Linked DNA regions of Rattus norvegicus. The protein of the gene in region 5 purifies or fractionates together with the protein of the main gene of each other region. This does not show direct contact. Links are inferred from orthologs where the notes say so. Each region holds a gene or a part of one and is shown on either strand. Other genes may lie near its edges. The genes, in order: Cul2, Btrc, Kpna3, Prmt5, Rela, Sp1 and Map3k8.

Region 1 (3,646 bases), on a different chromosome or scaffold from region 5:
CAGTCATAGGAACGAAGCTGTTCAAGCTGTCTCTGTCTACTGCCTTTTGCTGACGTTTAAGTCTGAAGAGTCAGTGGCTAACGAAGCGCACTCCAGCAGCAAATGACTTTCCGGCTCCCAGAACCCACAGGAAATTGCTCACAACCCCAGATCCGGGGGATCCCACAATCTCATCTGACTTCTGAGATTCAGTCCCCAGCAACCATATGGTGGCTCATAACCATATATAATGAGATCTGGTGCCCTCTTCTGGTCTGCAGGCATACATGTAGGGAGACTGCTGTATACATGATAAATCTTGAAAAAAAAAACCTTTTATCAAAATATTTTAAATATCAAAAATATTTTATCAAAACTTAGGAATTTAAAAAGTTCTTTGCCTGGACTGAATATATAAAAGACAACAGTCCTAAGACACATTTGTGCTGGCGTGGAGCCCAAAGCCCCATGAGCTACAGCCCCAGCTCACACTTTACTATTTCATTTTATTTTTAATTTAAAAACATACTTATGTATTTATTCATTTATGGGCCTATGTGGACCCACAGGCAACCTGTTAGCAGGTCAGTCTTCTAGGATTTCTGTCCCACATGCAGCTTCCATATTATGTTTTGGTGTCTCAGCTTATACAGAACACTTACCTCAATTACAGGAAAACTGAAATATTACCAGGACTAAATGAAGCCTAAACATGGCCTCAAAGTTCAACTGGAAAAGGAAAATGATTTTGAAGCTTTCTCTTTCTTCTATTTATTTACTTGTGTAGGTATGTATTTGGAATGGTGGTGTGTTCTTCATGCTAGGGCCACATGTGAGTATGAGAGGACAACTCGTGGGAGCTAGTTTTCTCCATCAACCACGTAGGCTGTGAAGAGTGACTCCAGCCTGTCAGGCTTCACCAAGCAAGTGCCGTCACCCACTGAGCCATCCACCTTGTTATCCCCAAGCTCTCCTAAAATGTCAGACCTTATACAGGACAGGTGCTTAGTAAGAGCTTGTAGGGTTACTATGTATCACAGATAGACCCCAAGCTGAAATACACACCTCCCACACACAGACATACACACACCACACGCACACAGACATGCACACACCTCCCACACACAGACATACACACACCACCCACACACAGACATACACACACCACCCACACACACAGACATACACACACCACCCACACACACAGACATACACACACCACCCACACACACAGACATACACACACCACCCACACACGGACATACACACACCACCCACACACGGACATACACACACCACCCACACACGGACATACACACACCACCCACACACGGACATACACACACCACCCACACACGGACATACACACACCACCCACACACGGACATACACACACCACCCACACACGGACATACACACACCACCCACACACACAGACATACACACACCACCCACACACATACACACACCACCCACACACACAGACATACACACACCACCCACACACATACACACCACCCACACACATACACACACCACCCACACACAGACATACACACACCACCACACACAGACATACACACACCACCCACACACAGACATACACAAGGAGTCACTGCCAGGCCTTTGTTTACCGTCCTCTTCCCTGCACACTTACCATCTGTACACTTTTCTCTAACTCTTGGGGGATCGCAAATGTGGACGACGGAGCCTGGGTGAGAGGCCACGCACCAGCCTAGAAAGAAACAGTGAGATAAAAATGGTCAACAGATGTCTACCTCAAAAGCTGCGTCAGCTGCTGGGACACCCGTTCTTCCTTGGAATTCTACAGTGCTATGGCTCTCACTAGCAGGACCCATTTTATTCCAAGTCTGTAGGTGTGGTCCTCAATTCAACAGCTAACCAAACATGAGCAAGCATCAGTTGCTAACCTTTTATATCACATTATCAAAATGGTTCATAAATCGAAAAAGAAAGTCCTGTCATACCTGAAGGACATATATTTGGAAACTAATCCCCAAATCGATCACAGTGTCTTGGTTTCTGATGAAATTGTTGAACTTGTTGTTGAGGTCGGCGCTGACACTCATGTCTGTGTACATCCGATGCAGCTTGCTGGTAAACTCATACCCACAGGCTTGCTGGAAAACAAGATGCAGAGCGTATAACATAAACTGAAAACGGTCAGCCAGGGGTGAACTGTTTGGGGTTTTTTTGTTAATTATTATTATTAATACAGAACTTTGAGATCATCCTAAATCATTGTAAGTCTCATACTAACACTGCACACAGTGCACAAATGCGCTCATGTCTGACGACGTATGCAGCCCCGCTCTATGTATACAGCGACCGCACTACTGTGAGGTATGCAGCCATTCCATATAGTGAGCGTATTTGGCTGTCGGTACAATGATTTCTATGACACTAAAGATTTATGTTACCTTTAATTTATTGATCATGGCTTCTTCAGAATCCATAGACATAGACAGCCCGTGAATTAGACGTTTTGCTAGCATTCTTGCATAGAACTTCTGAAAGACGTCCTTGTCATCGATGTACTTGAAAACTGTGATGAAGCTGGTAAGCTTGTCCTCTACTTCATTCTCCGTCATCCCCTTTGCTGACTTCTTTAGCAAGTTGTCACAGTACTTAGCAAGCTCAAAGAGAGAGTGGTAATAAAATTAGAAAGGCCCCTTCGGACAGACCCTTACACAAAGCACCCTAAGTATGTCACTTAGAACAGATGTAAGGGCATAAACATGAAAACAAGCCGGGGAAGTCATCAGCAACAGGACAAAAGCACGGCAAAAGTGTGACAGTTGCTGTAAGCTGTCACACCCTAAGGTTACACTCGAAAACTATGAATATAAAACATGCATGATCAGCTAAGTTTTAAAAACACAAAACACTTTTTCTTAGTTCTAAGAAAAAAAAAGCCTAATCAGCAGTTAGTGGCTATAATGAACAGTACACATGCCTTTTTAACAAGATCATCATCTTTATGAAATATTTTCTCCTTTGGCTAAAAAAGGGCACATGGTCTAATTCTGAACATAAATTTGGAGATACATACATACATATACACACACACATATATGTATATATATATATACACATACACACATGCGTGCATGCGTGTGTGTGTGTGTGTGTGTGTGTGTGTGTGTGTGTGTGCAGACAAATTTCATATTCTGAAAAGAATACACAAAGCAAATTAATTTGGCATTCTAGTAACTTCCCTTTACTGACTTCGCATGCGCATGAAAGTCAGTTACCTTTAAGCAACTCCACTTACCAGTTCAGGTGCTTTGCAAACAGACTTGGGTTCTCTGTAATTTACAACAGACGTAAGGGCCTAAACAAGAGAAGAGCCCAGGGTTAGTTACCAGAAGCAGGCAAAGCACACAGGTGGCTGAGGATCAGCCGTCGGATCTAACACCACAGTTTAGCTATTTCTCTTCCTCTGTCCAGTATGTAATGTGTAAGTGTCCACATAAAGGAGTATACACACTCGTGTACAAATGAAGGCCAGGTCTACCTTAGCTACTGTTCAAGGGTTTCAGAGTCTGTTGTGGGACCTAGGGTGTACGCTAGCTGGACAGCCAGCCCCATGACCCTGTCCCTTTCCAGCACGGATGTCACACCTTCGTTTGTGCACGGGTGCTGC
Region 2 (4,446 bases), about 42 Mb from region 5:
TTAAATGTCAGGCTCCTATTCAGAGTCAACCCTCTAAACTGGAAGCAAAGCCCAGCTCTCTTCTGAATTACAACTCAAAACTGGTTGAGGGAGATAAAAGCAACCTTGACTGATTTCCATCCCCTCCCCCAGGATTTCAAGGTCTCTGCTGATTTGCCTGTTTGTAAACAGACTGAACTCCGGATCCTTCTGCCTCTCTCCCAAGTGCTAGGATTACAAACATTCGCCACCACACGTAGCTTGTTTGTTTTGTTTTGTCTGTTTATGGTCTTTTGAAGCAGGATCTAATTCCATGAGTAGCCCAAGCTGGCTTTCACACTGGCAATACTCCTGCCTCCTCCTTGTCGTCCCCATTCTTGTCATCTTCCTCTTCCTCCTCTTCTTCTTCTTTTTTCTATTTTTGAGAGAGGTTCTTTATATGTGCCTCCAGCTGTCCTAGAACTCACTATGTAGACCAGGCTGGCCTCAAACTGAGATCTGCCTACCTGCCCAGGTGTAGGCCACCTTGCCCAGCCTGCCTCAGTCTCAAGTACTGGATAATAAGTATAATCCCAAACCTGGGGTCTGTTAATATTTTAGAAGGGCAACGCAGGACAGAAATTCAAGAAATGTCTTTAGGCTCAGTAGAATTTTGTGAATGACAAACTTGTGTTTCTGAAGGTACTAATACAAAGTAATTTTTTGTTGTTTGTTTTTTAGAGACAGGGGTTCTCTATGTAGCTCTGCTGTCCTGGACTCATACTGTAGACCAGGCTGGCCTTGAACTCAGAAATCAGCCTTGCCTCTGCTTCCCAAATTCTGGGATTAAAGATGTGCGCCATCACAGCCCGATTAAAATTTTACCTTTTTAATATATTTTTTATTTTATTTTTTAAGATTTATTTATTTATTGTATCTATGTGAGTACACTGTTGCTGTCTTCAGTCACACCAGAAGAGGGCATCGGATGCCATTACGGATGGTTGTGAGCCACCATGTGGTTGCTGGGAACTGAACTCAGGACTTCTGGAAGAGCAGCCAGCGTTCCTAACCAATTAGCCATCTCTCCGGCCACTATTTATTTATTTTATGGGTATGGATGTTTTGTCTGCATCTATATCTGTGCACTACTTGTGCGCCTGGTGCCCTGGGGGTCCAGAATAGGGTAGAGGATCCCTTGAGACTGGAGTTACAGACCTCTGTGAGTAGCCATGTGGATGTTGAGAATCAAACCTTCATCCTCTAGGAGAGCAATGGTCTTAACTGCTGAGTAATCTCTCCAGTCCCCAAAATAAAAAGTTAGATTTGACCGGCTTCTATAAATATGAATGGGGCAATTTAAAACCTAATTTTAACTAAGTTAGTATCTGTTTGTTATGGCGTCAAATTTGTTATGGCATTTTAGGCAAAGACACACACACAAAAGAACCTATTCAACAAAGGAATGCTATTTGAAATGATGGGTTACAATTACTTCTGAAAAAAAAAAAACAAGACTTGATTGAAAATAATACAATATTCCTAAGATCATCCGTTCAGTTAAAAAAATAAATTAATAAATCTATGCATCCCAACATTCTTTAGATGTAACTAGAGACTGGTTTACACCTAGGATATACAAGGAAGCATCAGATTAAAAGCATCAAATATCAGACTAGTCAAGGCTGCCAAACACAAGCACAGCAAAGGACAACCACCATACAAAGTTAAAGAAATAGGGCCTAAGGGGTTTACACACACCCTAAAAACGCAAGGCTCACTCTGTACTTCAACCTAAAACTCACGGGCAACACCAATCCTCACTTACCTCACCTTCTCTACTCCCTACATCCGTCCTCTAGAATTTCTTCACATCTCTTTAACATTTCTCCAAGGCCTTTCCTCTCACAGAAAGTGATACAGCACCTGGCTTCCTCCACATTTTACTACCTCACCACTGAAGGCCCAAGTCTTGTTTTGCCTTCTCTTATTGGCTATGAATCTTGTCCCCGTTCACCTGTAACTACATTTCTTTCATCGCTTTGCCCTTATCACAAATAATTCTGCCCCTCTTCTTCAAAACAGAGCACATACCTCCTTCCTGATATGGGTGATTCTAGCTGGTAATCAACACTGTCTCTCCCAGGAACTGTCACCATAGCTCTAGGTCTGAGTCCTTATCTTCTTAAATGAGGCCTCTTCTAGAGTTTGCCAACATTAGTTTGGTCAACTGGGATTCCACCCTTAGCCCTTAGGCAAAGGCTATCTTCCCAGCTCATTCTACAAAACTACTTGCCTCCCCAGCCTGGGCTTTCCCTCCTTCGCCGTTAAACCCATCAGTTTACAGTCCTGCCCAGTTTCCCCCTTCCCCCAGTGCTTGCCCTGCCATTATCCTATCTCTACTATTCCCTACTCCTGAATGCACCTCCTTTCCCAGGCCTTACCCGTTACCCTGATACCGGGAAGGGCCCTGCTAGCGTCTACAGGCGTTTCTCCACCCGGGTTCCTCCGCTCTTCAGTAACTGTCCCCACGCCCCTTTCCCTCTGGGGGCCCCGCGCGCCGCCAGGAGCCCCCACCTCGAATGAGCTCCCGCTGTCACTTGGCTTGTCTTCCACAAGATGGCGGAGCTGCTGCCCCCACCTCAGGGTCCCCTCTGCACCCTCCTGCCCCCTCCCCCAAGCTCCGGTCCAGTCCCTCCCTCCGCCTCGCCACCGGCCTTGGCCCCAAGTCCCACTGCCCCCTCCTGCGGTGAGCGGGTGACCCAGGCCTAAGCTCAGCGACGCGCCAACGCTGCCGCCTCCACTAGTCCCCTGCCCACACCATCTCCTCACCATAAACTTGAGCGCTTTCTCCTGCAGCACCGCCTCTGCCGGGTCCATAATCGCCCGGGCTACTGGGTCTGCTCTCCGCCGGGGCCGCCCCTTTCGTGCCAGGCCGCAGCCAACGCAGCGCCCGGATCCCGCCTCCTCTTCCTTCCCCCGCCCTCTCTTTACCTCCTGGCACTGGCAGGGTACCCCTCCGAGGAGGACCGAGGCTCTGCGCGTGCGCACTCCGCTGCCTCACGGGACGTGTAGTTCTGGAGGCTCGAGCGGCAAAAGGCGAGGCCACGCGGCGAACCCCAACTCCCACGGGTCACTGCGTAGAGTCGCGGCTGTGTGCAAGCCAAATGTAGCGCACTCGAGAGCCCGGAGGGGAAGTCGGCTGACGGGAATCGTAGTTTCCAGCCTTTAAGAAGGCAAAGCCGGAATGTCACCGTGGTTACCAAACGACGCCAGTGGTTGCTTGCCTGGCATTTGATAGCAAGATGGCGACTAGTGCTTCCTCTATATTCCAAATACTGGGAAAACAGAGAACCCAGGGTCCTTGGGCCTCCCTAATTGTGATTTTAGAGAACGAGTTCATACATAGGGCATCTGCGGAAAGATTGAGACCTAGAGACTCTGAGCCTAGTGTGCATGTAACAGCAGCCTCAACAGCAATGCAAGATTACGAAGTCATCCTAAACTATTATTACCTCTCGTTTCTGAAGAGCCTTTTCTCTCCCAGAGCTAGCCAGGGACAGATAGAACTCGCTCCAGGAAACCTTGAGTTTAGTGCTCAGAATGTATGACTAACTTTGCTAACCCTGAGATCTAAGTCCTGTGTTACATCAAGCCTAAAAGTAGTGTCTATGACCATAAAAGCCCAAAATGGGCCGGGTGTGATATCACATGCCTTTAGTTCCAACACTTGGGAGGCAAAGGAAGAGGCAAGTAATCTAGTGAGTTTGTGGCTAGCCTGGTCTACAGAGCAAGTTCCAGGGCAGCAAGAACTACACTAAGAAACCCTGTCTTGAAAAAAAAAATTAAAGAAAAGAGAGAGAAGATGGGGCTGCAGAGACGGCTCAGTAGATAAGAGTGCTTCCCGTGAAAAGACAACGACCTGAGTTCAAGTCTCTAGCACCCATATAAAAAGATGGGTGTATGGGCTCAGTGGTTAAGAGCACTTGCTACTCTTGCAGTGAACCTGGGTTCAGTTTCCAGCACCCACATGATAACCCACAGCTACTACTGTGCCTCACCCGGAGTAGATTTTTAATTATGGACACCATGTTCTATAAACATCATAGGCAGGAACAGAGGTTGGTTGGTTGGTTGGTTGGTTCTAGGTTGGTTGTTTTGTTTTTGTTTTTGACTTTTTTATTTATTTTGTGTATGTGTAGGTGCACATGGCTTGCGTAGATCAGGGGGAAGCTGCTGAGTTCGAGGTCTACAAGGTCTACATTGGAAGTTCCAGGACATCCAGAGCTACATAGTGAAACTGGGTCTCAAACAAAAAAGTTATTACCCTTCTTCCACAGTGTAAGCCCCAGAGATCAAACTTAAGTAATTAGGTTTGGTGGCAAATGCCTTTACCCACTAAACCATCTCACTAGACCAACTCTGACAGAAGGCAAATACACTTACTCTACAGGTTACAGGGAGACCAATTAGCCCACAGTGGTGCTG
Region 3 (4,279 bases), on a different chromosome or scaffold from region 5:
TAGACTCATGTGTTTGATTGCTTGGCCCATAGGGAGTGGCACTATTAGGAGGTATAGCTTTGTTGGAGGAAATATGAGGTGGACATTGGGTCTCCTATGCTCAAGTTAGGTCCCTTGTGGACACAGTCACCTTCTGCTGCCTGCAAATTGAGATGTGGAACTCTCAGCTCCTTCTCCAGCACCATGTCTGCGGGCATACCACCATACTTCCTGCCATGATGACAATGGACTCAACCTCTGAACTGTAAGCCAGCCCCAATGAAATATTTTCCTTTATAAGAGTTGCCATGATTATGGTGTCCCTTTACAGCAACAGAAACCCTAATTAAGACAATTCTGAAATGTAATACTCATATATAATCTAATAAGGTTATCTTGCTGTAAAAACAAAAACAAAACCAACCAACTAACCAACCAAAACCAACAAAAAAACTGTTATTGTTCCAACAGGAAGCTAAAGGGAGTTGACAATCTGGAGTCTGCAGACTTAGGTCCTGAAGGCTACATTGTGTTAGGTAGACTAAAGCATCAGGTCATAGAAAGGTAGGGCTGCCAAAGTGAAGGTTGCACAAGGATGCTTGGAGAAATCAGGGGATGCTAGAACACTTTTTTTTTAAAATCAGAATTTACTAGGTACTGTTTTGATCTGACAGATTTTTGAGACCAACAGTGTCTCTTTTCTCATTGAGTTTAATAGCGGGTGCAGGAAGCAATCATAAACACACACATCACACTCACATGTATTTGTGGAGTGGAAACAAGCGTGCTATTTATAAAACCGAAGCAAAGCAGAGAACAGGGTTTGAGGGTGGCTGCTATTTGAGGAGACCCTAAAGAAGCCAAAAGCGCAAAGCACGCGTGGCCGTTCTTTTTCTAATTTTCGAAGCTGTAGAAAGCAAGGTGCGCCCCCGGAGCTCCGCCTCTCTCTCCGGATAGGCTGCAAGGTGCCATCTCCAGAGTTGCCCCGCCCACCAGCCCGCCCAGAGGTGGGGCTTCGAGCCCGCGCTCAGAGAGCGCCTAGCCGAAAGCGCGCGCACAGCCCTCCCGGCATGCTTCTCGTCCTCTCACACCGTGGCTCAGACCCGCGCCTGGCAATCTGGGAATTGTAGTTTGCGCCCTCCGCCCCGCTTCAGGGGTGGCGGTAAAAGCTGCTAGGTCGGGCTCCATTTCTAGCACATGACTAGCTGCTGTGGGGAGGCCCGGCGAAGGGGTGAGGGTAGGGTCAACGCGACAGCCGGCAGGCCAGCGCCCCGGCCTTCTCCGGCGCGCGCCTTTCCTCAGCGCCGCCCCCGCGCCGCGGCCACCTCGCGCTCCAAGCGTCACGGAGCGCGCGCTCCTCCCCCTCCGTCCCCTCCCGCTCGACTCGCCGCCGCCGCCGCCGCCGCCGCCGCAGGAGCAGCCGCCTCCGGAGCCGCGCGCAGCCATGGCCGAGAACCCCGGCTTGGAGAACCACCGCATTAAGAGCTTCAAGAACAAGGGCCGCGATGTGGAGGCGAGTGTGCTCCGCGGCTGGCTGGGTAGGGCGGGGAGGGGCGGGGGCCCGCGGCCGCTGGCTCTCGCCGGCTGGCGGTCAGTCGGAGTTGGCCGCCGCCTCGGGGCGCCGCGGCCCGGGCAGCAGCCGCCCTCTGAGCGGCTAGCGCGGCACCTGGGACCGCTGAGCGCTCGGCCCCGCTGCGCGGGCGCGGCCTGGCGTCGGAGGGGAAGGGATGTGGAGCCGAGGCGGGGTCCGCGGGCCGCGCGGGAGGACGGACCGGGATGCTGCCGCCCCGCGTGCCGACCGCACCGCCGGGGCCGGGCCGCCGCTCGTGTCCGCAGCCGGTGCAGCCTCCCGCGCTGCCGCACATGGAGCCTGGGTCCCCGCGCTTACCTTGTGCGAGCCGGGCCCAGGCGGGCGGTGGCAGCCCTCAGAGGGGGGTGGGGACCAGCCGGGTAACTGACTTGTTTGAGGGTGGTGGATGGGGGAGGGTAGGATGCGCCAAGACCATTTTCTTATATTCCAGTGCTGTCCTTTGGACCAGTCTTCCCGAGCTGTTGCAGCTCATACCCCTGTGACTGCTGGCATTTGGAGCGAGCTAAAGGTGGACAATAGTTTACCGTCTATTGTGTTGAAGCTTTGGGAAGGAGGTTGTGCAGACCTCTGATCTTGGGATTTTTTTTTTTTCTAAAGCACGTTTTGGAGTGGAAGTGTGAATAATAGGAAAATAATTTCTTTGACCTGTTTTGCAGAAATAAATTGGATACATAGATTCCTACGTCCTTGTGTATACCACATGCCACCAAGCTAGTAGATTTTCCAAGTGGTTGCAAAACTGTAAACATTCATTGTGGTCACTCAGTTTGCTGCTACTCAGCATGTTGCCATTGTCTCATTAAGGTGACATTAGCAGCTACTATTTGCAAACTCTGCTTATTGAGGTAGCGCTAGAGGTCTCTCTGCTCCTACTAAAACCAATGAAGTGTAATAGCACAAACTTCACTGGGACCCAACCTCTGGATTTGATGGGGGAAATAGTTTTGAGCCCATATCCTCTTCTCTATTCTAATAGTAGGTAATATGATTTGTATAGTCTAGTAGTCTTTGGTAAGAGGCTAGTTAGTAAATACAGGGTTTGGTTTGGTTGAGAAGCAGACGAACCTGGACCATTTTTCAGAGCTACAAAATTAATTATGAACTGGAAAGAACCTGGGGGAATATCTGTGGAATTCCCATTTGAGTGAGACTATAGGTTTTCTATCTCTGCCCTGATCACATTTAAGTTTCTTTATGAGAATTCCAAACAAAAGTGAAACCTAGCAAATGGAACATCCATCAGTCTGTTTTTTTGGTAAGAGTGTGTGTGTGTGTGTGTGTGTGTGTGTGTGTGTGTGTGTATGTATGTGTATGTGTATGTGTATGTGTATGTGGCGTGTGTGTGGTCTCTCTTGCTTTTCATTTGTTTTGTTTTTGAGACAAGGCTTTAACTACAGGGCAGGCTGGTTAAGCAGAGAGAATAATCCTGCCTCAGTCTCCCACGTGCTGGGATTACAGGTGTGGGCCACCACACTTTGTCCCACCAGTAATTGTTCTTGAGGTTGTCTCTTATTACTGTAAGCAAAACCTGAATAGTTTACGTGGATACTCTATTGCTTGTACATTCTTTCCTTTTCTGGATGTTGGTGTAAGTTTTTGTCATGATTCGTTTGAGTTCTGTGTCCTGTTTGTTAAATGATAACTAGTGAGGACTTCTGCATGTAATAGATCCACAGCAACTACTTGCTGCTTACTAGAAGGTGACAAGTGGCTTGTGGATACATGAAAAGGACAGTTGCCATTTTGTCGGGTTTTGTTTACAACATTTCATGTCCAAGCCTATGTCAGTATAACTAGGACATGAAATAGGCATTCAAATGGTAGTTCTTTGTGGCAGACACAAAGAACTATACATTGGTGTGCTATACCAAGAACATTTAATCCTCACCACTTAGAAGTGGTGCATTCCTTTACTAGAGAAGAAGAATTCTTTTTTTTTTTTTTTTTTTTTTTTTTGGTTCTTTTTTTCCGGAGCTGGGGACCGAACCGAGGGCCTTGCGCTTCCTAGGCAAGCGCTCTACCACTGAGCTAAATCCCCAACCCCAAGAAGAATTCTTCGATATAGAATTGCACGTTTCTGTAGCGTGCTGGTAACATCTGAGAGCATTCATTTGCTAAGTGACTATTGGGTGACTAGTGCAAACAAAGATGGCGTCCGAGTGATCTCTGACAGATAAATGGGAATGAGCTGATCCTGAAGAGTCAAAGAAAAGCTTGGTGCGCCCTCAGTAATCTCAGCACTTGTTGGGATAGCGGCAAGTTAGGAGTTCAAGGTCATCCTGAACCGGCGGGCACCCTACCTCAAAAAATAAGCAAATGAATGAAATGAAAAGGTGATAACTGGGGAAGGGGAAGGGCAGGGTCGAAGAAGGGGATAGGCTTTTGTGATTTGAAGATTACTAATTTCCGAAGTTCCTAGAACTGCAATGGGACTGCTTTGCTAAGGGGTTCTGGGGAGTGGGTGGATGCTAGAAATGTAGTGGAAGGGTAATCTAGGGTCTGGTCTAATTTAGGGTCTTTATTGTGGTTTTAAACAGAACTAAGAGGAGATGCCAGCCATATTAAATTTATTTTTCCCATTAAAAGCTGTGCTGCATTTGAGTCATACTATGAGTTAGCACTATAATTAAGTAGTTGCGATTATTAGGGTGTTTGCTATTGTTTCTTTACAAATAGTGTAGACAGAAGATAAAACATTTTTAAATTATG
Region 4 (3,589 bases), on a different chromosome or scaffold from region 5:
TGCCAGACTCCTCTGCAACACTGCTGTTCACATCAGACCCCACATGGTCCCCTATTGCAAACGTAAACCGAGATAACTTCTCAGCTGACATGGGTACTTGGGTATTCTGTTCTAAAAAGAACTGATGGTGCCAACCCTCACTTCCTTAGGTTTCCCAAAGCTCCTGGACCCTTGAGCTGCCCAATCCCTGCACTACCCCAAAAAGTTGCTGCTGTCAGAGATGTTAGGATAGGTGCAACATTTCACTGTACCAACTTCAAATTTTCTTCTGCAAAATGGACAATTACTCTGTGATTTTACTGGCAATCCATCTAAGGAAGGGAGAAGCTAGAAGCTCTTCTCATATCTCCAAGGTGTCTCTTTCCTAGAGAAATAGACAAATGAACCTAATGGACCACATGAGAAAAGCATACGCCCAGAGGTCCCGGGGCGGGGGCGGGTGAGGCTGGAGGGCTTGACACACGGGGACGGAACACAACATGAGCACAAGTGGGAACCTCACAGGTCACCACTGAGTACTTCGTGCTCTACTACTGAACATCCCCAGCTTCTGACCTCCTTGGGTCTTAGGCAAGGCAAGAGCACAGACCTCGGTGTGCTGGGATTGAAGTGAAGTGTAGGAAACAGGCAGGCGGCAGCAGGGGAGAGCAGCAGAGGCCGTAACTTCTCTTTATTTGTGTTTCCTTCTGACACAAAGCATCCAAACAACAACAGAGTAAGGCCAGGGGAAGGCCGCAAGTGTTCATGCACACTCCTGGGGCTCTCCCACAAGCCTCTGCCTTTTCTCCTGACCCCTGGGAAGCTCTGGAGGGTGAGCGCCCGCCGATGCCACTTCCTCCAGTGCTACTGAGTCCTCGTGCCCTCGACAGAGGCTTCTGAAAACTGCTGCTGGCTTGTGTCCTGCAATTCTTTTTTTTTTTTTTTCTTTTTTGGAGACAGGATCTCACTATGTAGCCCCTAGGTGGCCTGAAACTTGCTGGGTAGACCAGGCTAGCCTTGAACTTAAAGAAATTCACCTGCCTCTGCCTCTGGAGTGCTGGGATAAAAAGTATGCACCACCATGCTTGGCAGTCCTGGAATGCCTACCCCCTGGCCACCATGACATAGGTAGAAAAGCAGACTGAATCGTTCCTCGCTGGCAGGTGAGGGTCTCACAGATGAACTGAACCAGTAGATGTTCTGCACCTTCTGTGCTACAGGAAGAGAACTCAGAGCTGCTTCCAAGGCTCTGACGCTGTGTGCAGGGCTAGAGGCCAATGGTATAGGAGCGACCAGTAGGGTTGTGAATAGAAGAACAGACTGGCGCTGTCACCGCCCACTCGTACCACACCTTCTTAGAATTGCTGCATCGCCAGAAACGCACACAGATGTTCTGGCCTTCATGCACCGTGATGGGCTGCTGTAATAGGAAAGACACAGAGGCTGGGGTTGAGCTGAGGAACTATACTTGACAATGTTGGGAGGATAGACGGGGATTAGATAATCAACAGCCAAGTGTGGGGTACAAACCTATAACCCTCAAACTCAGGAGGCTAGGCAGGAGGGTCAGGAATTCAAAGCCAGCTTGAATATAATCCCAAACCCTTTCTCAAAACCAAAGACAAATATAGTAAAATATTCTGACCCTCATAAGACGTCCCTACTCGGGGCTGGAGAGATGGCTCAGCGGTTAAGAGCACTGACTGCTCTTCCAGAGGTCCTGAGTTCAATTCCCAGCAACCACATGGTGGCTTACAACCATCTGGGATCCAGTGGGATCTGATGCCCTCTTCTGGTGTGTCTGAAGACAGCTACAGTGTGCTCACATACATGAAATAAATAAAATCTTTAAAAAAAAAAAAAAAGACGTCCCTACTCTGTCAAAATATGGACAGTGAGCAAGGACACAGTGAGTGCTATGAGCATGTACAGGGAGCCGCGAAAGCACTTAGGAGGAAGACAGCCTATTCTAGGAGGTCAGGAAAATGGCCTGATTGCAGATATCCCAGGAAACCTGGTCAGTTGGCAGGGTGAAGGCATGAGCAAAGAACCTCACAGGCAAAACAGAGGGGACTAAAAGCTAGAGACATCTCCTGGGAGGCAGAAAAAGCCACCAAGCCAACTCTTACAACATGGTTCCAGGGTCTCACCTGAGGGCAGTGGGAAGGCACTGAGGGGCTTAGACAGAAAGGCCAATTCAAATTAAGTGGTAAAAAGTCAACCCTCTTCCAGGTAAAGACTGGACAAGAGTGGTTGGAGATGTGGGGAGTCCAGGGAGCTTACTTGGGTAACCCCAACCAAGACCACAGAGCAAGTGACAGAACAGAATGTGGGTCACAGCCAACTAGCTGAGGGACAGGAGCAGAACACCACTGTTATCCCTCAACCAACCATCTTAGAGGGGACTCCTACCTTGATGGGGAAGAAGATGGGGAACCATGAGAACATGCCAGGAGAGTGGGTCTCTGGGCGGATACCTGTGGAGACAAAGTAATGAAAGACTTGAGGTCACCACTGTCCCTCTTCCTTACCTTGAGAAGTCTCTTCTGTGGTCATAAAAAATCCTAAGAATCAGAGACCTCTATTCCTGGACTCTGGACTCCCCATGAAATTACTGTGCCGGGCTGACAGTAACCTCAGCTAGTGTTCAGCTAGCAATCTCCATGGAGGAGAGAACACTGTGAAGCAGCCCCCAAGAACTGAAATCACCAGTGCTCTAATGAGCTCCCAGACACTCACTCAGAGTGATGTCCCGGTAAAGCACAGTTTCAAAGTAGCCTGCAAAGCCATGAAGCACCGTGTTCACCTCCACAGGAAACTCCAAGGTACAGTAGCGGTTGTTGTCAATCATAGGATCTGTCAGGAAGGACATGGATGGATGACAAGGGGCCAAAACCCCTCAATGACTTGGCAAACCTGAATAGGCTCTAGGACTGCAGGACCTGAGACCTAGACTTGGGAAGCTCGCACCCCCTCAGTCAGAACAGCCATGCATGAACCTACCTCGGTTGGGATGGCTGAAGGTAAAACAGGGCTGAGGAGCAGAAAGCTGGTGGAAGTTGTGCAGCCGAACCACATAAGGCATCTCAAACTGTGCCTGGCCAGGGTGAGAAAGCAACAACTTCAGGAGACAGAAGACAGACAGACAGACAGACAGGAGGCACCACTTCCCAGAGAAAGCTGGAGTTCCAGCATCAAAGAACGAAAACATCGTTTTACTTCACCCTCGTTCTTCAATCCCAGCTCCTCTCACCTCTTCACTGGCTTCAGAGGAAGACAGGAGAGCAGACTGAAGGATAGTCCCTCCTCCTAGAAAAGCAGCTCTTTACCTCAGGGTCACGGTCCTTCTCCCGACAGGCGCGGACCTCGTTGTACAACTTCGAGGAAGAAATGGGAGCCAGGAAGGAGGTGTATTCTCCGGGGATGCTTACACCATCATCTGCAGGACAACAGGGTCAAATCAGTTCCCAAAGGGAGGGGAGAGGGCATTTTTTGCACCAGCTGAAGGCTCAAACAACAGAACAAGCCAAGGCTGCTAGGAACACGGCTGGAGGACAGGATGTTGGATCATCGGAATTCTACTCTTAGGATGTTAGAGCCGTAAGTAAAG
Region 5 (4,092 bases):
AACACAAGATATGGAAAACAGTCACTTCCCATCCAACTCCAGGGCATCCTGCAAGCTTCCCACAGAGGCAGCTCTGGGTCTTCTCTGCCCTGCCCCCTGCAGCAAGGCCACACCCACCCCAGCCCCATTCTCTTCCCAAGCCCACCCTCTCCCCTTACTGCAGCTGGCCACTTACGGTTATCAAAAATCGGATGCGAGAGGACAGGGGTCAGGCGGAGGGGCCTGCCTGATGGGTCCCGCACTGTCACCTGGAAGCAGAGGCGGACCGCATTCAAGTCATAGTCCCCGCGCTGCTCCTCTATGGGAACTGTCAAAAAAAAAAAAAAAGTGGTGGAAGGCATGGGGAGGGCAGGGAGCTCTGAGGGAAGAGGAAGGTGATTTGAGGATATATAAAACAGAAGTCTAAGGGGAGGAAGACAAAATCCTAGACCCATCACGGCTCTACTGGGACCTGAATACACCACCCCTTTCTAGGCCTGACTCTCAACGGTAGCATGTGAGTGTGTACCATGCTGGCAGCGAGGTTCCACTTGTACTGTTGGGTTGGTCATGGAGGGTGAGGAGCGCCAGAGGCCCAGGGAAGGTGGCAGAATGTGCACCACAGGCAGGCTATGTCCTGCCCCTTGCTCCTACCTTGAAAGGGGTTATTGTTGGTCTGGATGCGCTGGCTAATGGCTTGCTCCAGGTCTCGCTTCTTCACACACTGGATCCCCAGGTTCTGGAAGCTGAGGCCTCAGGCATTAGTTCTGTGTCTCCAAAAGAACACCCTCTTCCCACTCCTCAGCTCACAGCTCAAGGCTTCCCACTGTGCTACAATGAACCCACTCCTTACCCACTGGCGAGTCTCTGAGGGACCTGGCCCACACCAGCCCCCAAGTCAGTGTCCTAGCCTCAGCCACAGGGCCTTCCTGTCCCGTCCCTGAGCACACTAAACTTAGTCCCTTTTCCAGGTCACCATACTTCTTTCTTGTGCATGCAATGTTCTTTTGGGCTTGTCTGCTTTTTCTCACCATTTGAGTGTTAGCACAGAGGCCTTCTGCAATCTTCCAACCCAAAGTCATGAGACCTACGTAACAGGACATGGTGCTACGCGCCTATTACCCTTGGAGTTGAGAAGAGGAGGTAGGTGAACCCTCATGAGTGCAAGGCCAGCTTCAGCTATATGAGACTCTGTCCCTATGCCACGAGACCAGCCTCCTCCTCCTTCTAATTTATTACTGTGTTTTCTTTTCATCATGGAAATTATAATTCTCCACTAGTATCTTTTCTATCTGTTTGTACAACTGTCCCCTGGTTTTACCAACTGGTATTTAAGCTCTAGGAGAGTCCATTACGGACTTTCTGATACAAGAGCCTAAGGGACTGGGCTATCCAGTCATAAAGGATCTGTCGCTCCAAGATAAAGAGTTCCCATCTGTTAGCGAATTTAAGACAAAGGGGGTCTGTTTGCAGACCTGGGGACAGAGCAAGGACTCTGGATTCTGCCAGTGTTTAGAAAAGTGTAACTTTGTAACAGCTGCCTGGCCCAGCCTGCTCTTACCCTGCCCCCTACCTACCCTGACCTCACACTACCCCCAGCCTATCTATTCAGACTCACCTGTGGATGCATCGGTCTGGGCAGAGTTCAGCCTCATAGAAGCCATCCCGGCAGTCCTTCCCCACAAGTTCATGTGGATGAGGCCGGTGAGGTGGGTCTTTGGTGACCAGGGAGATTCGAACTGTTCCTGGTCCCGTGTAGCCATTGATCTGTCCAAAGTACAGAGTACTTTAGAGGCCAGCAATCCCAAATCTGGCTCCTAGACACGGGGCGCGGTGGCAAGGAGGCAAGTCTGCTGGGGCTCCACAGTGCCTTCCACCACATCTGTGTCCCCACCCCGACACCCCTGGGGGCTCTTGCTTACCTTGATGGTGGGGTGCGTCTTAGTGGTATCTGTGCTTCTCTCCCCAGGAATACTGCCTGCAGAGCGGCCCTCGCACTTGTAACGGAAACGCATGCCCCGCTGCTTGGGCTGCTCAATGATCTCCACATATGGCCCAGAAGCCTGGGCTGGCTCTGTGGGTGATACGGTCAGCCATTAGGTGCTGCCCCCATGGCCCCTACTCCAGGACAGCCCCTACCTACTGAGGAAGGATGGTCCACTTACCTGAGGGAAAGATGAGGGGAAACAGATCTGAAAGGGAAAGACAAGGCACACTGTCAATAAACTCCAGTACCCACCCTCACCAGGGAATGCCTCCAAAGGAAACTGAGCCAAGATCCTAAGACCTGCCCTGAAAGAGGCCAGGTAAAGAAGGCAAAAGCATCTCTCTACTAGAGAAAAGGGGCACAGAGGTATTCCTTTGCCCGGGGAAACTGAGTCAGAGCCTGTTTTACGTTCATAAGTGACACTGAGGAAGGGTTCTACCCCCTCTCCTTTTCGGGGGATACTGAGTCAGATACTTTCTCCCTTACACGGAAAGGAAGCCAGAACTAATCGCATCGACACAGTGGGTGGGGGGGGGAAGCCGGAGGAAACTGAGTCAAGATTCACCCGTACTCCCACCCAGGAGGGACATTGAGTCAAGGCGCCCTCCACTGAGAGGGGCAACTGAGTCAGACCCCTCGCAGCCCGCCCCGCCCCGTGCCACCATCCGGCCTGCCGCTCCCTGCGCAGCAACCCGCGGCGCAGAAAGGGGCGGAAGACGGCGCGAGGGGGATCCCGCCGCAGGTCCCGGAACTCTAGGGCAGCCGTCCCGCGGGCCAGAGGGCAGCCTCACCGTCCATGGCCAGGGTCCCGGGGGCGGGGCCGGGGTCGCAGCTGAGCCCACGGCGCGCTAAAGCGAAGCCATTCGCCAGAGGCGGAAATGCGCGGCGCGCGCCCGTCGTCGCGTCACTGCCCGGAATCCGGCCGCGCCTGCGCGCTGCGCCGCCGCCACCGACGCGCGTGGGGGCCGAGAGCAGGTGCGCAACTCACGCTGGGCGCGGAAGGTGTGCGGCGCGCGGGCGGGGACACCGGAGCGCGGCGGTAGGACGCCGAGGCTATTCGTCCTGAGGCCCGCCCGACTGCAAGCCGCTCCCGGACTACGCAGCGCGGTTCGCTCCGTGTCCGGGCCCCGCCTGGAGGGCGGGCCCGCGATTACTCACTCTGTTTTTAGGGGATTTCGGGTCCCGTTCCCCGCCCCGCTCTGATCTCAAGAGTTTGGTGATGTCACCCTGGCCTGGTCTGGAGCAGAGCCCGGGCTGCTGGCAGGCTGCGGCCATTCGCCCTGCACAAGGAGAGGCTCAGGCCTGCTGCTTCCGCGGAGCACAGTGACTGAATTCCACACGTTTTCCTACTCGTGCAGGGCCTTCTGGGGACCGCCGCGCGTTACAGGCCATATGCTCCCAACCTAGATCCGGCTGCGCGCAGGAGTGCTTCCCAAAGCATGCTTCATCAAGGCTTGACTGAGGCCTTGGTGTAGAGGGGACCGAGGTAGACACCTGTACCTCTAAGAGTCCCTGAGAGCAATGAATGCTGGAAGAGCTCCAGGGCTTCGCCTCCACAGATAGGTCCTGTCTGCTAAGGTTCAGATCCCTAGGGATCTCCGGAGCTAGCCAGGGTCACACCACTTGAGCATCTCCTTGAAGGCCTCCCAGGAGCCTGAGCTCCAGTGATGAAAGCTTTTGTAGGGAGAGAAAATTGCCATCTAAGCCAAGGGCGGGTGTGCAGATTGAGTCTGGGGACACTGGCTGGAGGAATCAACACATCAGGCTCCCTCCACAATGCCAGAAGGAGGAGGCGGGGTGGGGGGCAGAGGAGGCTTTAGCACATGGAGAAAGACTTATTTTCTCTAAATTAGGAAATCATGTGGGAATTGGAAAAGATTGGAAATTCTGACTTCTTTCCCAGGCTCTGAAAAAAACAGGAAGACAAAAGTGAAAATAGTTACCGCCCCTCCCACTCATTTCAGTTTCTCACTTGGCGCAGATTAGAAAAAGCAGTTTAATGTTTTGCGGGGGCGGACATCAAGGTGACAGAATGAATTATGGTCTCCGATTAATGGCACACAGCCATCATTGATCCTCGCACGAACCACTTTTAAAAACTGACATATAGTTGCAATTTAATTAAT
Region 6 (4,223 bases), on a different chromosome or scaffold from region 5:
CTGACAATGGTGCTGCTTGGAGGGCCTGAAGAGCTTGTCCACCTTGAACTAGCTGAGGCTGAATAAGAATTTGTTGTTGCTGTGTCTGCTGACTTTGCTCTCCCTCTTTTTGCTGACTTCCTTGCAGTGATCCTCCTGATGTCTGGTTCTGCTGGATGTTTAGAGAATCAGACCCTTGCAGCCCACCAACTCTCTGGGATGTCTGGCCTTGAGAACTAGTCCCTGATGATCCGCTGCTGGTAAAGTTCATAATTCCCATGTTGCTGGTGGTGGTAGTTGTTGAATAGCTGTTGGCATTGGTGAAAAAGGAGCTGGAACTGGCTTGTGATGACACCAAGCTGGCAGAACTGATGGCAGTCCCTGAGGTGACAGGCTGTGAGCCACTCTCCTGGGATCCAGAGCTGCTGATCGTGCCTGCCTGAGAGCTGGGAGTCAGGGTAGCTGCAGAAACGCTGTTGACAGGTAGCAAGGTGATGTTCCCATTCAGGGCCACTGGTACATTGGTCACATACTGAGTCTGTCCTGAGAGCACATTATTAGCAAGGCCTTGGAGGGGGACAGCTTGCTGGAGTAGATTTGGCATAGCAGCAATAATGTTGCCCCCACTTCCTCTATTTGTGATGATCTGTTGATTTGCACCTGGTATGATCTGTATTTGACCAGAACCATCCTGCTGCACTTGGGCCCCAGTGGCAGCAAACTGCAGCTGTTGCCCATCAACAGTCTGGAACTGTGGGATTACTTGATACTGAATATTAGGCATTACTCCAGGTAGACCTGTCAGAACTTGCTGGTTCTGTAAGTTGGGGGTAGCAGCCACAACATACTGCCCACCAGAGACTGTGCGGTTCTTGGAAGACTCACTGCCATTGCTGCCATTGGTACTGTTGCCACTCTGTTCCTTTGAGGTAGGGGTAGCCCCAGAGGAGGAAGAGATGATCTGCCAGCCATTGGCACCCTGTGAAAGTTGTGTGGCTGTGAGGTCAAGTTCACCTGTGCCCCCTGACTGACTCGGACCCTGGGAGTTGTTGCTGTTCTCATTGGGTGACTCAATTCTGCTGCAGGTTGCTGCCAGCAGAGCCAAAGGAGATGGCTGGGATTCCTGGCCAGAAGAGAGGAAAGGAGTTAGTGGCACCCAATAGCTGGCCTAGGGGGCAGTATTCAACAGACAAACAGCAACAATGCAGGCATATAAAGAGCAAAAACCAGAAACAAAATGCTAACTTCTGTGTACTGTTCCAACTTTCCTATTTGGGGACCCTCTAGATCACCTATCTTTCTGTGTGTACTTCCCTACTGTACTTTCTCCCAGAGTTTTTGGTTAAGGAGGTTTCTAAGAATACTTATACCCTTTCAATACCTTCCCCATCTTTGATCACTCACCTGCCCTCCTCCGCCACCACTGCTGCTGCTACTGCCTGTGCTGCTGCTTCGAGTCTGAGAAAAGGCGGCACCACCACCGTTCCCGCTACCCCCGTTATTGCCACCAACACCTTTTTCAATCTTCACAGCTGTCACTTCATCCATTGAGTGATCTTGGTCTAAAAATAATTACAAAACAAATAAGTTGAGGGGGAAAAACATTAAGATTTAAAATTAACGTTTTGACCACCAGCAATGACTAATAAAATGTTTTTTTTTAAAGGTATTAGTCAGATACAGCTAGTTATGGTGGTAGGCCTAAAATCCCAGTATTTTGGAAGTGGAGACAAGAGTTCAAAGAAATTCTCAGTTACACATTAAACTGAGATGCCAAAGCCATAGGCATGCAGAGCAGGCACATGGCTTAATGGTGTCCAAGACAGGTCACTATTTTCCCAGGCATAAATTAACCCCAGAAATGACTCAAAAATTGCTTTGGAAGCCAGGCATGGTGACTCACACCTATAATCCCAAGACTTGGAAGGATGAGCCAGGTGGTTCTAGGTCTGCCAGACCTACAGAGTAAGAACTGATCTCAATGCAAACAGCACTTTTGAGGGAATTTGAGAGCAGTGTCTCAGAAATTAAAAAAAAAAAAAAAAAAAAAGTGGGGCCTAGTGATGGCACACTCTAATCCCAGCACTCAGGAGGAAGAGGCAGGCAACTAGGTAGCTAAAAGTTTGAGGTCTGCATAGTAACTTCGAGTTACTACGAGTACCACATAGACCCTATCTCAAAAAGAAAAACAAAAAAGCATCCTGGAAGGAAAAGGAGACCCAACACATAGGTGGATGGAAAGTGGGCTAAAATTAGGACTAAAAGAGATGGAGACAGATTAAGTGTAAACAAAAACAGGAAGGGGCCGAGAAAGGGTAAATTGTAAGTGGAGGTGAGGAAACATCTGAAGAGGGCAGGTAAGAGGCTAAAATGGTTTAGGGCTTAGAACCCAGGTTTGGGGCTGAGGGGCCGGGCCATAGAAGGAAGGGGCGGTTTCGGGGTTAGGGGCGTGGCAAGGGCGGGTCGGATGGGGGAAGGGAAATTTACGGGGGTGCGGGGGAGGGCCTGGAGCAGGCTGGGACCGGAGGGCGGACCGGGGAGGCGGTTGGCCCAGGCGGGGCCTGCACTGGTCGGGCCGCCCCCGCGGCGCCAGCCCCCGACAGGAGGAGCCTCAGGCGGCCGGCCGGGTAGTGGGGGGTAAGGCCCGTCCCCCGTGGCCGGGGCGGGCAGGGGGCGGGCGAGGCCAGGCTGCCCCCTCCCCCGGGGCGGGTAGCCCATCCCCCTCCTCCTCCGAGGCCCCGCCACTGCCCCTTCTCCCTCCCTTCCCTCCGCCCCGGGCGGGACCAAGGCCGCCGCCGCCGCCTCCCGCCCGCCCCCCCTCACAGCGGGGACCGCCCGGTCGGCCCTCGCGCGCGCCCCCTCACTCCCCTCCCACCCCTAGGCTTGGAGTGGACTCATCCTTACCGCTCATGGTGGCAGCTGAGGGGCGAGCTCAAGGGGGTCCTGTCCGGGGGGGTTGGGGGGGGCCGGGAAAAACGCGGACGCTGACGAGGCAAGCGAACCCGGACCGGACAGGGAGGGGGGGGTAAGGAGGAGGGAGCAGCGCGCCACAAGCCCGGCCTAGTCCCCGCCCCTTATCTGCTGCCCCTCCCAATGAAGGAGGGTGAAAGGAGGGACTTGCAGAGGAAAGGCGGGCAGTCTACCCAATGGCAAGACTCGCTCTCTCTCTGAGGCGTGTAAGACCAAGTTGCGTGCCTGGTTTCCGCCCAGAAAGGCCGCCCTCTCAGTTTTAACAACCAATTAGAGACTCGGGAAGTGGTGATGGGCGGGATGAGAAGATGGACTTGCAGAGAAACCAGTCAACCACCAGGCGGGCTCCGTGAGCGGTGGGGATAGGAGGAGATTAGGTAAGAAAGACAGGACAACGACCAACCAGAATCTTGGGCATGCCTGGGCAAAGTCCGTTTAGGAGAAGAGTAAGAAATAGGCCGGAATAGGACAGGATCAAGCTTTCTAAACCAATCAGAATTCAGGCGGGCAGTTAAGAAAGTTCTGATTGGACAACAACTGAAAAGAACCGGAACAGGGCTCATATTGACGTGAATGAACAGCCAATTAAACGCCGAGTAGAAGGTGAAGGCTGGAACTTGGAATGGGGAGAGGAGAACAGGCTTCCCCCTCAGATACTCAGGCCAATGAGGCAGCGAAAGCAGCCTGGCACCGCCTCTAGCTTTGGCCAATAGTCGTTAGAGGGCCGCCCCTCATGAGGAGGGAACCGGGCTGTGCCAAGTGGAGTTGGTCGCCATGTTGGCCCTCCTCAAGAGGCTTCTTTTCCTCGTTAGGTGGTACGCTTTAGCGGAGCCTTGCAGTTCCACAAGTGTCAGCGCTGAGACGCGCGAGGGCGAGGGTGTCGCGTCACCCGGGACCGTTCGAGTTTTCCCTTCACCGCTCCTACACAGCACCTCTCGAATGTCACCCCTGCCGGGATGGGCGGGCGGCTCCCCCTCGCCGTGGGTGGAAGCCCTGTGGCGGCGGGCGGGACGACAGCTTGGTGACGGCACACGAAAACCCAAGTCCACTGAGCTGAAGGCTTTTGGGAAGCTCTAGCAAACGCCATTTTCTTAAGCTGCCCCAGACACGCTAAACCACGGGCCAGGCAGGGTTCACTCCCATCACTCGGCTTTGAGAATGACGCACTCTGGAGAACTTCGTGAAGCCAAGCTCTCAAAATACTCAATTTACCCTCCTAGTAGAAAGCACGGTAACCTACTTTTGCAATCAAAAAGGTTAGAGAATTTGCCCTA
Region 7 (3,646 bases), on a different chromosome or scaffold from region 5:
CACGGAACCACTGCACGAAGGGCTGTGTGTAAGCATGTTTCTAACCTCAGCACCTATATTTCCTGACAGGTAATCAGTCCCCAGAATGGTCGCTACCAAATCGACTCGGATGTTCTCCTTGTCCCGTGGAAGCTGACGTACAGGAGCATTGGTTCTGGTTTCGTTCCTCGGGGGGCCTTTGGAAAAGTGTACTTAGCACAAGACATGAAGACAAAGAAAAGAATGGCATGTAAACTGGTGCGTGCAGCCACACCGTGTCCCTGACTTCCTGGCTTAGGGTTATTTACCCTTACACTAGGTCTTACCTACGGTTCCTACCCCAAAGTGTCTGTCACTTCTGGAGTGGCTTGTGGCCCGGGACCATTCAGCTCCTACATCTCTACTTAGGTGTCTTGTAGCTTGCAATCTAATTAAAAGAACATTTTGGTGTGTATGGCAATGGCTTAGATAACACCATCTCCCTTAAGTGGGAGTAGCGGGAGCTTGCCCGAGATGGAAGATATTGGCTGCTGTCCTGTGGGGAGGGGTACATGGCAGGCAACAGAGACTAGGAAGACAGGGTGTTCCTCGGGACTACAGAGTTATAGGGCTGAATTCAATTGTACCAATTGCCAATATGACCCCATCTCTTGTTAAGCAATGACTGTTTAAAATTAATGCTTCAATACTTCAGCGCACTCCTGGGCAGGCTGACAGCTAAGAATGTACACATCTGGAGAGGCCCAGTAACTCACTGCCTAATGACAGCCAGCAGAGGTGTGTCCACTTGTGGGACTATTCTGGGCTGTTCGTTTGAGCACTGTTTGCCACGGTAGCATTCTGAGAGCTATGCAGGTGCTGACAAGTGAATGTTTATGGTCTGGAACACTTGATCACAAAGAGAATCTTCCTGATGGAGGCCTGAACTTTTGTGGGATATAGAGATGGGTGAGCGCTTATCTTCTAGGCTTGAGTCTGAATTGATCAAGGGACCAGTGACTTCTTCATATTATCACACAGTGAGGGGGAAGATTGGGAAACAGATTGTTCTAGGAACCATGGAAGTGAAGGGTGTCCATCATAGGAAATTCTTACCTCAGTCACCATTCTGGAACCTTGTTTGGATTCCTAAACTCTAAATAAAGTGAGTTTTTCCCTACTTTGTTTTTTAATGTTTGAAAAAGTTCATATCTAAGGATGACACGATATATGTAGAAGTGGGTCTGTGGTAAACATTTCTTGACACCACAGTGCCCTGTCGTACACATCAAAGTGTCCTTGTGTTATTTTGGCTTCTGGTTTTTGGCTTGAACTATATTGTCTGATATTCGTTGGTTTGTTTTATTGTCCTGAAGTTGTTTAGACCCTTGCCCCTGTTTTGTGTTGCTAGATCCCTGTAGATCAGTTTAAGCCATCAGATGTGGAAATCCAGGCCTGCTTCCGGCACGAGAACATTGCTGAGTTATACGGTGCGGTCCTATGGGGCGACACTGTCCATCTCTTCATGGAAGCTGGCGAGGGAGGGTCTGTCCTGGAGAAGCTGGAGAGCTGTGGGCCCATGAGAGAATTTGAAATTATCTGGGTGACAAAGCACGTTCTCAAGGGACTTGATTTTCTGCACTCCAAGAAAGTCATCCACCACGATATCAAACGTGAGTAGTGGTGTCTGCCTTGTTGCTGTTTCATGGGGCAAGTGAGATGCTTTGACCCGAACACACTCAGCAGCAGACACAGATTCCTTTTCTGTGCTCCTGAAGAGGCTCACAGAAGGAAGGCCGATTGCTAAGAACATTAGCAGTCAGAAGGGAGGCTGAGGACCAGAAACCGATACAGGGATTATGACCACGTGTCTCTTGGGTGCGTGCTGCCTCTGTCCTTGTATTGTGATTTAAAAACAGTGCAGAACTGAGGGTGCACCTTAGTGGTAGATCTCCTGCTTCCCCCATAGGAGGCCCTGGGTTTGATTCCCCCCCCACACAGAGAGAGAGAGAGAGAGAGAGAGAGAGAGAGAGAGAGAGAGAGAGAGATTATATAATGCAAGCACGTAGGCATATATTTTTGAGTTAATTTTCTCTTAATTTTGAGCCATAATTTGGCAATAATTCATTAAACATTCTCTTTAAAAAAAACCAAATTGTTAGAACTCGGATATAGTATAAAATAAAACAGAGAGACCCACTATAAATCTTTAATACTTAATGCTGAATTGGACATACACAGCTTTGGTCAGAAAAACATATTTATTTTTCTAACAACAGTAGCTTGTGTATGTCTTAGATTTCGAAGCCGAAGCCTTGAGCTTTCCTGATGGTTGTAGCTCCTATCCACCCACACTAGGTGGGTTCCTGGCAGGCCTCGGGTGGTTTCCGCTGACCTCCACCCTACTCGTCTCTTCTGGGTTGAAGGCAAATATCATTATCAGAAGCATTTCTTTCTGTTTTGACTGAACTTGCTTTTCTAGATGAGGTTTTCCTGTTGGGTTAGTTGCATTAACTCACATTAAAAACCCCTCTCATTGCAGCTAGCAACATTGTATTCATGTCTACGAAAGCTGTGTTGGTAGATTTTGGCCTGAGTGTTCAAATGACAGAAGATGTCTATCTCCCCAAGGACCTCCGGGGAACAGAGGTAACTAATTGTATTGGTGTGAAAATTGTTACTGTCTTGTTAAGAATAAAAGTGATGGTCTGGAAATTCTGTGGCAAACAGCAAGGAAGGGGAAAAAATGACAACATTGAATGATCTTTGTCACCAGAACAAACTCATTTTACTTTTTACCTTTTTCTATTTATATGACTTTAAATATGCATGGTTATATTTATAGACATTATTTATTACTATGTTTATTTATACAACACAAAGCACTTGCAGCCAATCCAGTGCCAAAATGGAGAACTAGTTGAGCGTTCCTAATCCAAAAGTCTAGAAAGCTAGGCAAGAGAGAGGTTGCTGAGTAAAGGCAACGCAAGCCTGAGGACCTGAGTTCAAATCCTGAGAACCCACACAAAGCCAAGTGTGATTGTCCCAGTGTGACTGTGGGTAGATCCAAGTAGACAGAAGTCTCCCCCAAGGCTCACAGGAGAGTAGCCTGGAATAGAGGGCTATGAAGAAGAGATCCTGGCTCAAGATAGAAAGTATCACATGTGCAGTGTTGTATATATTACATACACAGACAGACATGGTGAAAATGAAGCCCACAAATATACCGAATATTCCAAATATGAACTTCCAAATCTGAGATGTTTTGGTTCTAAGCTTCTCAGGTAAGGGGTACTCAGAATTTAAAACTATAAAATTGTTAGAGAACAATAGTGAACTTATAGTTTGCTTAGTACTTTAAATGAATCATTTCTTCCTTAGAATTATTCTGTATAAATACTGTTGCTAGAGCATTTAGGTGACTGCTGTTGTTCTATTTTATAAAAAGACAATGGAGAGATTGTGGCATGGTGCCTGATGTGACCCAAGTTACCAGCAGAGCCTAAAGCTTGAATTCTTGGAGAAGAAGGATTTAGTTTCTTATTTTCTAAGGATTCGGGCTCTAAATTATGGGTAACTTTTTAAACGGAACTACCACATTATTACATATCAAATTATGATAACTACTGCAACCCAGTATGTCTTCCCTGCCCTGGCTGTTAGCATTTACTGAGAACTAGCCACCAAT

Evidence for each region.
Region 1: the proteins of Rela (region 5) and Cul2 purify together in Homo sapiens (affinity purification with western blotting; 3 studies listed by BioGRID and IntAct, with this or other methods). This does not show direct contact. The link is inferred for Rattus norvegicus from reciprocal best matches to the Homo sapiens genes RELA and CUL2.
Region 2: the proteins of Rela (region 5) and Btrc purify together in Homo sapiens (affinity purification with mass spectrometry; 3 studies listed by BioGRID and IntAct, counting the BioPlex papers as one, with this or other methods). This does not show direct contact. The link is inferred for Rattus norvegicus from reciprocal best matches to the Homo sapiens genes RELA and BTRC.
Region 3: the proteins of Rela (region 5) and Kpna3 purify together in Homo sapiens (affinity purification with mass spectrometry; 4 studies listed by BioGRID and IntAct, with this or other methods). This does not show direct contact. The link is inferred for Rattus norvegicus from reciprocal best matches to the Homo sapiens genes RELA and KPNA3.
Region 4: the proteins of Rela (region 5) and Prmt5 purify together in Homo sapiens (affinity purification with western blotting; 3 studies listed by BioGRID). This does not show direct contact. The link is inferred for Rattus norvegicus from reciprocal best matches to the Homo sapiens genes RELA and PRMT5.
Region 6: the proteins of Rela (region 5) and Sp1 purify together in Homo sapiens (affinity purification with western blotting; 7 studies listed by BioGRID and IntAct, with this or other methods). This does not show direct contact. The link is inferred for Rattus norvegicus from reciprocal best matches to the Homo sapiens genes RELA and SP1.
Region 7: the proteins of Rela (region 5) and Map3k8 purify together in Homo sapiens (affinity purification with mass spectrometry; 5 studies listed by BioGRID and IntAct, with this or other methods). This does not show direct contact. The link is inferred for Rattus norvegicus from reciprocal best matches to the Homo sapiens genes RELA and MAP3K8.

Annotation. Positions count from the first base shown.
Region 1 is NC_086035.1:58,870,517-58,874,162, forward strand, and holds part of Cul2 (cullin-2), read right to left. Parts: intron 3,335-3,646; coding exon 3,275-3,334; intron 2,637-3,274; coding exon 2,421-2,636; intron 2,121-2,420; coding exon 1,968-2,120; intron 1,715-1,967; coding exon 1,637-1,714; intron 1-1,636.
Region 2 is NC_086019.1:254,157,849-254,162,294, reverse strand, and holds the start of Btrc (F-box/WD repeat-containing protein 1A), read right to left. Parts: upstream 2,932-4,446; 5' UTR 2,839-2,931; coding exon 2,791-2,838; intron 2,757-2,790; exon of another isoform or gene 2,536-2,756; intron 2,483-2,535; exon of another isoform or gene 2,403-2,482; intron 793-2,402; exon of another isoform or gene 1-792. UniProt on the Homo sapiens protein: Substrate recognition component of a SCF (SKP1-CUL1-F-box protein) E3 ubiquitin-protein ligase complex which mediates the ubiquitination and subsequent proteasomal degradation of target proteins. Recognizes and binds to phosphorylated target proteins.
Region 3 is NC_086033.1:39,783,265-39,787,543, reverse strand, and holds the start of Kpna3 (importin subunit alpha-4), read left to right. Parts: upstream 1-1,416; 5' UTR 1,417-1,423; coding exon 1,424-1,492; intron 1,493-1,499; exon of another isoform or gene 1,500-1,955; coding exon of another isoform or gene 1,956-2,078; intron 2,079-4,279. UniProt on the Homo sapiens protein: Functions in nuclear protein import as an adapter protein for nuclear receptor KPNB1. Binds specifically and directly to substrates containing either a simple or bipartite NLS motif.
Region 4 is NC_086033.1:31,938,289-31,941,877, forward strand, and holds the end of Prmt5 (protein arginine N-methyltransferase 5), read right to left. Parts: intron 3,419-3,589; coding exon 3,309-3,418; intron 3,077-3,308; coding exon 2,983-3,076; intron 2,836-2,982; coding exon 2,719-2,835; intron 2,457-2,718; coding exon 2,392-2,456; intron 1,400-2,391; coding exon 1,247-1,399; 3' UTR 639-1,246; downstream 1-638. UniProt on the Homo sapiens protein: Arginine methyltransferase that can both catalyze the formation of omega-N monomethylarginine (MMA) and symmetrical dimethylarginine (sDMA), with a preference for the formation of MMA.
Region 5 is NC_086019.1:212,353,069-212,357,160, reverse strand, and holds the start of Rela (transcription factor p65), read right to left. Parts: upstream 2,826-4,092; 5' UTR 2,765-2,825; coding exon 2,758-2,764; intron 2,172-2,757; coding exon 2,145-2,171; intron 2,054-2,144; coding exon 1,902-2,053; intron 1,747-1,901; coding exon 1,598-1,746; intron 726-1,597; coding exon 634-725; intron 308-633; coding exon 176-307; intron 1-175. UniProt on the Homo sapiens protein: NF-kappa-B is a pleiotropic transcription factor present in almost all cell types and is the endpoint of a series of signal transduction events that are initiated by a vast array of stimuli related to many biological processes such as inflammation, immunity, differentiation, cell growth, tumorigenesis and apoptosis.
Region 6 is NC_086025.1:135,418,755-135,422,977, reverse strand, and holds the start of Sp1 (transcription factor Sp1), read right to left. Parts: upstream 2,929-4,223; 5' UTR 2,891-2,928; coding exon 2,884-2,890; intron 2,740-2,883; exon of another isoform or gene 1,883-2,739; intron 1,542-1,882; coding exon 1,384-1,541; intron 1,103-1,383; coding exon 1-1,102. UniProt on the Homo sapiens protein: Transcription factor that can activate or repress transcription in response to physiological and pathological stimuli.
Region 7 is NC_086035.1:58,088,053-58,091,698, forward strand, and holds part of Map3k8 (mitogen-activated protein kinase kinase kinase 8), read left to right. Parts: intron 1-69; coding exon 70-237; intron 238-256; exon of another isoform or gene 257-1,123; intron 1,124-1,369; coding exon 1,370-1,631; intron 1,632-2,500; coding exon 2,501-2,607; intron 2,608-3,646.